Arabidopsis thaliana: one gene and its partner. The protein of the gene in region 1 interacts with the protein of each later gene in a pairwise test. Each region holds a gene or a part of one and is shown on either strand. Other genes may lie near its edges.

Region 1 (3,758 bases):
TTTAATTATTTCAGGTCGATATATGACATATTATGTTGGTAATAACAATAATACAATTTTAATGACAAGAAAGATAGCAAATCTTACTTATTATTTATTATTTAACCACACAAAGTGTCTATTAATATTAACTAACTCTAGTTTTCATATATAGTTTTAACGACAAGAAAGATAAGACAAGTAACTCTAGTCTTCATATATAGCATTGATCATTTATTCATGAATCTTTCCGATTTTTCAGCTTAGAAAATTTAGTTATTCAAAAGCATGGTCAAGAATGATAGAGATAGAATTATTCAAACACAAATTAATAATGTTTGAAAATTTGAGATTTACATTTCTTCATGATGTAAAACTTTGATTGAAATGCCTATATTTTTTAAATTCTTTGTCAAAGACTATATGTTTATACATATGTACATAAATGTACCACGATCACACAAATTTGCATAGATTTGTACACCCAACCGGTAAAATAAAAAGACTGTGCAAAAAGCTAACTGATGGTATTGTATAAAATATAGATTCGACATGTCACCACTTCTATATAAATATATATAAGAATTAGCGAAACACAATCTAAAAATGTTTAGACAATTTTCTTTAGGTATATTTTCGAAGGAGCAAGTTTACACACAAACAAACTGTATGAAGCATATTGATTGTGAAAAAAGATAGTCGAGACTAATTCAGAAGAAGACTAAGACATTGTGACAAAAGTATAAAAAATAAGTGCTGAGGTATGAATTGTTGCGCGTAACTGAGGTCAGCTGAGAAAATGACTTTCGCCTGGCTGCTAACATTTCGTTTCGGACCTTTCGGTTATTACAAACATTAAAACGATGATTATAATTATATTCTAGACTATAGTTTTTGATATTTTCAACTATCCAATTATAGTTTAGGTATATTAAATCGAGGAAGTGGAAGTGTAGTGATTAAAGAAACTCAATTGTTAGAGAAAAAAAAACTAAAGGAATTAGAGCCACAATTACAAACTATCCACTTTGTTTTTTCGTTTTCAACGTACATCAACTTACGCTGCAAGGCACAAGTCATAAGTAGGTTATTCATATACATTGCTTGACTACAAAGTTTGATTTGTTTTCCCTTTTTATAACAATTTCATATGGTGCGATGTTACTATTTTGCCTTTAAACGCAAAAAAGTAAGATGATTCACATCTATAGCAGTTCACTTCAAATGTTTTTTTGTTCAAAAAATAAAAATCATGATGTAGATAACCTTTTCTATTAGCATGCTGATTTTATAAGCGTTTTCTTTATCATAGTAAACATATAATGACGTGAAAAAAAAAGTAAACATATAATGACTTGTAAAAAAAATAAAAATGAAAAGACCTCAAAAATGAAAAATACTTTGCACTAGATGATGGATGACCTCAACAGATGAGTGGTTCACGTTCACCTAATTCTTTGGTCATATATGTGATGCCAATCGTTTTAGTTTTGATGTAATAATTATAGAATTCTAATGGAATTATATATAATCTAAACTAATAATTGGATGGTCAAAGAGTAGAAAGCCGGCTAATTGTTTTAAAGGCAAGCTGACAAAATTTGATCATTGTGTAAAGATGAATGCAATATAATGGACTTTTGTTCTCGAGAAACCATTCTTCTTGCCGGTTTTATGTCATTAGGTTGGAATGCATGTCGTTTTTGTCATGTATTATTTGTTTTCACTTTTATGGAGATTTCACAAAGCAAGCCAGTTGAACCAATAATGGGCCTTATGAGATATTTTCGCAGGCCCATTATCTTCTGTACAGCAACGAATAAACCCAGCCAAAAACCCTAAATCGAGAGAAACCACAAGCGTATCGATATTTGTTCTCCCAGATCTTCGTTTCGTCTCTTCGTTCTCAAACTCATGGCGGTAAGTTTCGATTTTTTCGTCTTCTGATTCTAAGTTCGAGCTTAGATTAGTTAATTCCTTTCTTTATTGAGCTCAAAATTAGAATTTTATCTGTTAAGTAGTTTTAGGGATTGCGAAATTCGATGGCCTGAGCTCTTCTTTCAGCTCCAATCTCGTCGATTTATCTGATTACAAGTAAAAGATTGGAGTATCTGCGAATCTGAATCTGATTCGAAATTGTTATATATATGTCGTTAACGAGTATAATAGTCCACTACATAAAAATTGCATTCGAGAATTCGTTGGAAAATGCACAATGTGTTTATCTTCAAATGTGATGCTTTTGAGTTCATTCCATTAGTATTTGATGAACCAAGTTTGTATGTATGTGTGTTTTGCAGACTATTCCGGTTAACCCGAAACCATTCTTGAACAACTTGACCGGCAAGACTGTTATCGTCAAGCTTAAATGGGGAATGGAATACAAAGGTATATTTTTCTTCAAAATGCTTTTGATGATAAGTATCCAGAGCTTATATAGCTAACAGTCTTCCTTCTACTTCACAGGTTTTCTCGCCTCTGTTGACTCCTACATGAACTTGCAGGTGCGTTATTTCCTGAATTACAAAGTTAGATAAGATAGCTTTTTGATTAAACAGAGAGATTGATGTTATTTTGTCCAAAACCACCTGCTAAATGTTCCTTGTGCATACAAGTTTAGAGGCAATGCTGATAATCTGTACAGATACATAGATTGTTATGCATTGACATTTTCCATATTGTTTTTGTCAGCTGGGAAACACCGAAGAATATATTGATGGACAATTGACAGGGAACCTTGGAGAGATCTTGATCAGGTAATAATATTACTTCATTGTCTCTACTTATTTTCTCCTTGTGATTCAGTTTATGTTTCCAACTATATGATTCACAGTGAAGTGTCATTACTTGATAAAACTTAAGAATTAGACTTGGCGGCCATTATTAGCACACATTTATCATTTTCTCTCTGATAGTAGTGGATTCATTGACTAACTATCAGGTTTGTAATTGCTTCGAAATTTTCGGATCCATTGAATTAATTTGCTGACTTTTGTGTACATAGGTGCAACAATGTTTTGTATGTCCGTGGTGTGCCAGAAGATGAAGAGCTTGAAGACGCTGATCAAGACTAACCTGTATTGAGTACTTAGAAATTGCAAGTCTGTGTGTTTTAATTTTTGTATTCTGTGAGCACTTTAATCTTAGTGTGATGTTGTTGAATCTTAAGAGTTTGTTGATCATATTCATACCTTAAAAAACTAACAAGCCCTTTTTCTTATGAGAAACCATTCTTCTTGCCGGTTCTTAGTCAATTCTTTTTTTAACCATTTTTATTGGGCCTAAATTTATAGCCCATCAAGTGGTAGCAAGTAGCAACATTGAGATTCTTTTGTTTACCAAATTTAAGCCATAAGTATGTACCCGCAAAATAAAAGAATTCGAGAGATTTCACTCTTTTTAAAAATAATTTTCAAACATAATATAATGTACCAAGCAATTACCAAACATAATATATCGTTCCAAGCAATCAGTTTTCAGATTAATCGGATCAATCATGCGTCCTAGCTTAAATGATAAATAATATTATTTAGTCTAACTTATTAGTATGTATGCTATATTGATTAATGATTAGCGTATTCCAGAAAAATAAGTTTTTTGCTGAAATTGTTTTAAAATAGGATATAAAGACAACCATGTACTTAATCGGGAATAAGTTAACCATGTACTTAATCGGGCTTTATGCATTGGGTCTATGATTAAGAAGTTGGACTACTAATGGGCTGTAATAGTCCTATATTGGCCCTTCTCAGAAATCTTACTAATGAGTCCGCAAACTA
Region 2 (4,373 bases), on another chromosome or scaffold:
CTCAAAAATGGTGTTTTGGATAGAAGAAAAAGAGAGAGAGATAAAATGAAAAGATCAAAAATTAATTTACTTGAAACACTTGTCTAGTTTTGTGATTAGTCGAGTACTTTGACTAGTTTTAGTAATTAAAGATAGTTATCGGGTGCGGACAAGATCACAGTAGGCTTGGATTGCCGTCACTTTTGCTTTTCGTTTATTGGACGACATTCTTGGGCCGGCGGCTAGTGTATGTATTTTTGGCACATGCTATATTCTAAAGTTGATAATTAAATAATAATACTTTGTTGTATAAAGTCCAATTATTTGTTATTAAAAAAAGACTTTAATAGTAAAAATACATTCATTTCACCAATAGCAAGATTAGGGATAAGATTCAACAATCAACATGGATATAAAAACATCTAATTGCAATGAAAAGTTAATGTTCACATAGATTTCTGTATTTTTATGTTAACTTTAACAGATTATATTCTGATTGGTCTATTAGTATAATTAAACTTTCAATCTACTTGAGCCCTGAGAATGGCCAACTCGGTCAGTTCACCAAACAAACAAAAATGATACAATTTTTTTTATAATCAAAATCAATTGGTTTTACTTTTTTAAGGTTTGAAATTTAAACAGAGGTTAAAAAGTTGCAACAAAGATCAGCCAAATTACATAACACTAGATTTAACCAAAAGGGACCAAATCTCTTTTTTGAAGTTTTAACCAACCAATCCACTAGATTCGATCAAGCTCCTTTGTCACTCACTACATTGCAATATATTATACGACATTGAAGAAAAGAAGGTATCGTCAAGTACCAATTAAGCTGAGGAAGAACTCAACAGATATTTAACATAAGCTTGAAGGTCATCGAAGAGAGTTGTTTGAGACAGACATCACTTTCCCCTGTTAACATAGAAAGGATTTTGTTTCAATCTTTTGTTATGTGACAAATCAAGCTGCTATACATCATAAAGAGAGAAGACAGAGTAGAGATTGTGTTACTTACGTGTTCATCATCAGAGTTATGTTGTCTCCTTTGAGTAAAATCCTTCCTGAAAATAGGTATTAACACGAGTTATCAAACCATAAGCAGACAGATCTGAGACTTGTTATCAAAGAGTGAGTTCAGGATAACTCACCAAGTGGTTTCCTGGTGTTCTTCTTGATGCTCACTTCTTCAGCCTCATCCAAAACTAGATTCATGTATTCGTCAAAACCCTGCAAAGGACGACGGATAAGCAAGGTTTGATGGATTCTCCTAGAAGAATCAATAATACACCCAAATTCAAGTAGACAAAAATCTAAGTTTAAAACCGAGTAGAGTGACACTATCACAAATATCATGTTCCTCCATACATATAATCAACCTCAGAAAAGCTAGGATCTTAACTCGAGGAACAACAAAAGTCAAGTAGACTGCAACATGGAACAACAAAAGTCAAGTAGACAACTCAAACCTTTAAGCCAATGAGAATGACACCATCACAAAATCTCAAGTTTCTCCAAATTATCATAGAATCAAACTAAGAAAAGCTTGAATGCTTGAATCATAACTCGAAAATCATAGAGGACATACAACTACAAGCATAGCAACAAACTGAAACAAGTAACACCCAAAGCCAAGTAGGCTGTAGGAGACAATAAGTTTTAAGCCGAAGAGAATGACACAATCATACTCAACCTAAGAACAGCTAGCTAATCAAACTAGTTTCTATTGGCAGGCTCTTATCAGTTCTTTGTGCAGTAGTAGTAACAGTGACAACTATCCCTTTTCAATTCACAACAAATGCAACAGTTCAAACACAGACTAAATTAGAGAGATAGTCACACTGCTAATGCATTTCAAACTCTCCTAAAGTTAGCATAACCCTCGAATGTCCTATAAACAAAGCCAGGAATCTAATCAATTCATGATAACGGAGCTTCAACATCAACTTACAGTGATTCTTCCTTCAATCCTCAAATCTTTCTGCTCAAATAGCCAAATCTGGATCCTAGCTTTCTGCATCACAAACACAAAAGACCAGGGAACAAATCAGTAGACGAACTACTAATAACCTAAAACCTCAGAGAGCAAATCAGAAGAAATTGAACAACTTACACTTTGAAGAAACCTAAAAATCAAGTTCTGGAGCCGCCGCCACCGGAAAACAAAAAGCAAGATACAAAATTAGGTTTCGATAGAAACAATAAAGAGATGGAACAAAGGAATCGAAGAAGAAACGTACGATAGGTTGGGTCATAATCCTTTGAACTTTGGTGCTCGCCATGGCTAACGTAGTTGGAAATCTCTCTCAAGCTTTCGAAAATTCTCTCTCAGAGGAAATCTAAAACCCTAAAAAGCGTTTGTCCCTCTGCTAATACGCTTTTTTCAACATTTTTCTTAAACTTAGTTCTCTCGGTCCTCATAAAACTTCAGAATGTTATTTCAGCCCATAACTAATTAATGTGATCATTTGGCCCAAATACTCTTTTCCAAGACCTAGAATTTTTTAGCGTAGGTTTTTAACTTTTTTTTTTTTTTTTTCAGAGAAAGATTTATTTTTAATATACTGAGGCTCAGTGTTACAACATAAAAGGCTCAAGACAGTCTACATATGAGGTCCACAACAGACTTTTACGTCACAAAAAAGAGATAAGCTTAAGACGTGTCAGACCAATAATAATAAGCTAAGGACACGTGAATCTTCCACAACCTCCACCGGATGAGACTCAAGTCTGGTGAATCGGAGAACCATCGCCGGGAAAGCACCGAGCAATGAAACTCTTTTTTTCTATCACCGATTATGGCAATTAGATGTTATAGAACAAACATCAATTTCCTAATCTCATATGGTTGCTAGAATCACAAATAATTCATCAAAACGGGTAAAGAAATTAAAAAAATTGAGTAGTTCAAACTTGTCCAACCATTGAATCTTCGAACTCTCTTGCAAAAGCACTAAAGGCATATCAAATTTGCATAGGATAGAAGCTTTAACCCAATCTTAGGCGAAAATAAAATTGAAACTGTCTTAAATATGGTAGATCCAAACGAGGGTAATTGCTGGAAACGCACACATCGCCGAAAAACTACCAGAGCCAAAAGCATAACCCAATAGTGAAGCTAAACAAAACAGAAGGAGAATAGATCTTGTAAAGAGAAACCCTCTTCAGATCTGACGATTCTGCATGCCATAAAGCTTCATCATCAAACCTTTGAAGTAACAAAACAAAAACAAAGATGACCAACGCTGTTAGTGTAAGCCCAACGCTGCCGTACGGAAGCTGGCCAACGTCGCTAAGTTAGCCAACGATGCCATACAAAAAGCCAACCATCTCCACTAACGTAGCTAGAAGATGTCGGACGAAAGCCCGAATTAAACGGGACGGCGACTCACCGGAAAACTATCCGGTTAACAAAAACAAAAGAAATTTCAGTTTCTATCTTTACAAACTACGAGAGAGCGAAGAGAGAAAAACTTTTTTGTGTGGTTTATTAACTTAGGTTTTTAATTTTTTATTATTCTGGTAAAAATATACGACTAATAATGATAATTATTAAAAATATTCTTACTTAGAAATTGGTGTCGATGATAAATTGGTTCTCAGTCGAACTAGTGTTAAAATAAATAAAAATATGACAAAGAATCACATCTATGTGCTCAATGCTAGAATTACAAAGATTGAAGAGAGATTGAAATTTGACCAAATATTATCTTCCCACATTCTTATAAATAAACAAACTTCATTCCTCACAACACAAAAATGTACAAAACCAACAATAAGCAGAAATTAAAAAGAGAAAAATGGTCACAATCTCAGATTTAAAAGAAAAGAAGACTAAAAAGCTTAGGCTATATCTATGACTAACTGAATCAAATCCAAATACAAAACAATTAGCTTTGTACAAAGAATCCAGCTTTGAATCTCAATCATTCATTATTTATCATCAGAGATTGATAAGGAACCTTCTTGATCTCCACAAATGTTGAGTACTCAGTGCTCATTGGTTGCTTCCATGGCTCACCATCCATTTGCAAGAATGCGTCTCTCCAGTCACCTCCTCTTAGCTCAAATCTTACCGCAGCAGCCTGAAATGATCACCAAAATGAAACAGTCAAACACATGGCTAAAAAGATTATACATTGACCAGTGTCTTTTGAAGTTACCTGAGCTATGTGCTTGGCAGAGATGAGCTCAGCCATGACAAATGACGCGTGCCATCCTTGCTTAAAACCGAAAATCTCTATCAAACCATCATCACAATGTGCTTCCACAAAGCCTCTCTGAGAAAAACCAAAGAAAACATTCGGGTTAACATCAGAGAACTGAGTTCATATATGATGAAATGGAACAGAAACAATACCTTCTCTAGATAGTCCGGTTTTAGATTGCCCCAA

The links.
Region 2: the proteins of RUXF (region 1) and AT2G18740 interact in a two-hybrid assay, tested with the Arabidopsis thaliana proteins (one large-scale study listed by BioGRID).

The regions. Positions count from the first base shown.
Region 1 is NC_003075.7:14,802,395-14,806,152, reverse strand, and holds RUXF (small nuclear ribonucleoprotein F), read left to right. Parts: upstream 1-1,794; 5' UTR 1,795-1,893; coding exon 1,894-1,899; intron 1,900-2,255; coding exon 2,256-2,367; intron 2,368-2,445; coding exon 2,446-2,483; intron 2,484-2,670; coding exon 2,671-2,735; intron 2,736-2,983; coding exon 2,984-3,053; 3' UTR 3,054-3,193; downstream 3,194-3,758. UniProt on the Arabidopsis thaliana protein: Probable common Sm protein, is found in U1 and U2 snRNPs and may be part of the spliceosome.
Region 2 is NC_003071.7:8,121,222-8,125,594, reverse strand, and holds AT2G18740 (Small nuclear ribonucleoprotein family protein), read right to left. Parts: upstream 2,375-4,373; 5' UTR 2,262-2,374; coding exon 2,220-2,261; intron 2,120-2,219; coding exon 2,093-2,119; intron 1,994-2,092; coding exon 1,931-1,993; intron 1,210-1,930; coding exon 1,131-1,209; intron 1,044-1,130; coding exon 998-1,043; intron 895-997; coding exon 885-894; 3' UTR 517-884; downstream 1-516. Other genes in the region: DGK3 (diacylglycerol kinase 3), read right to left, coding at 3,906-4,064, 4,143-4,259, 4,340-4,373.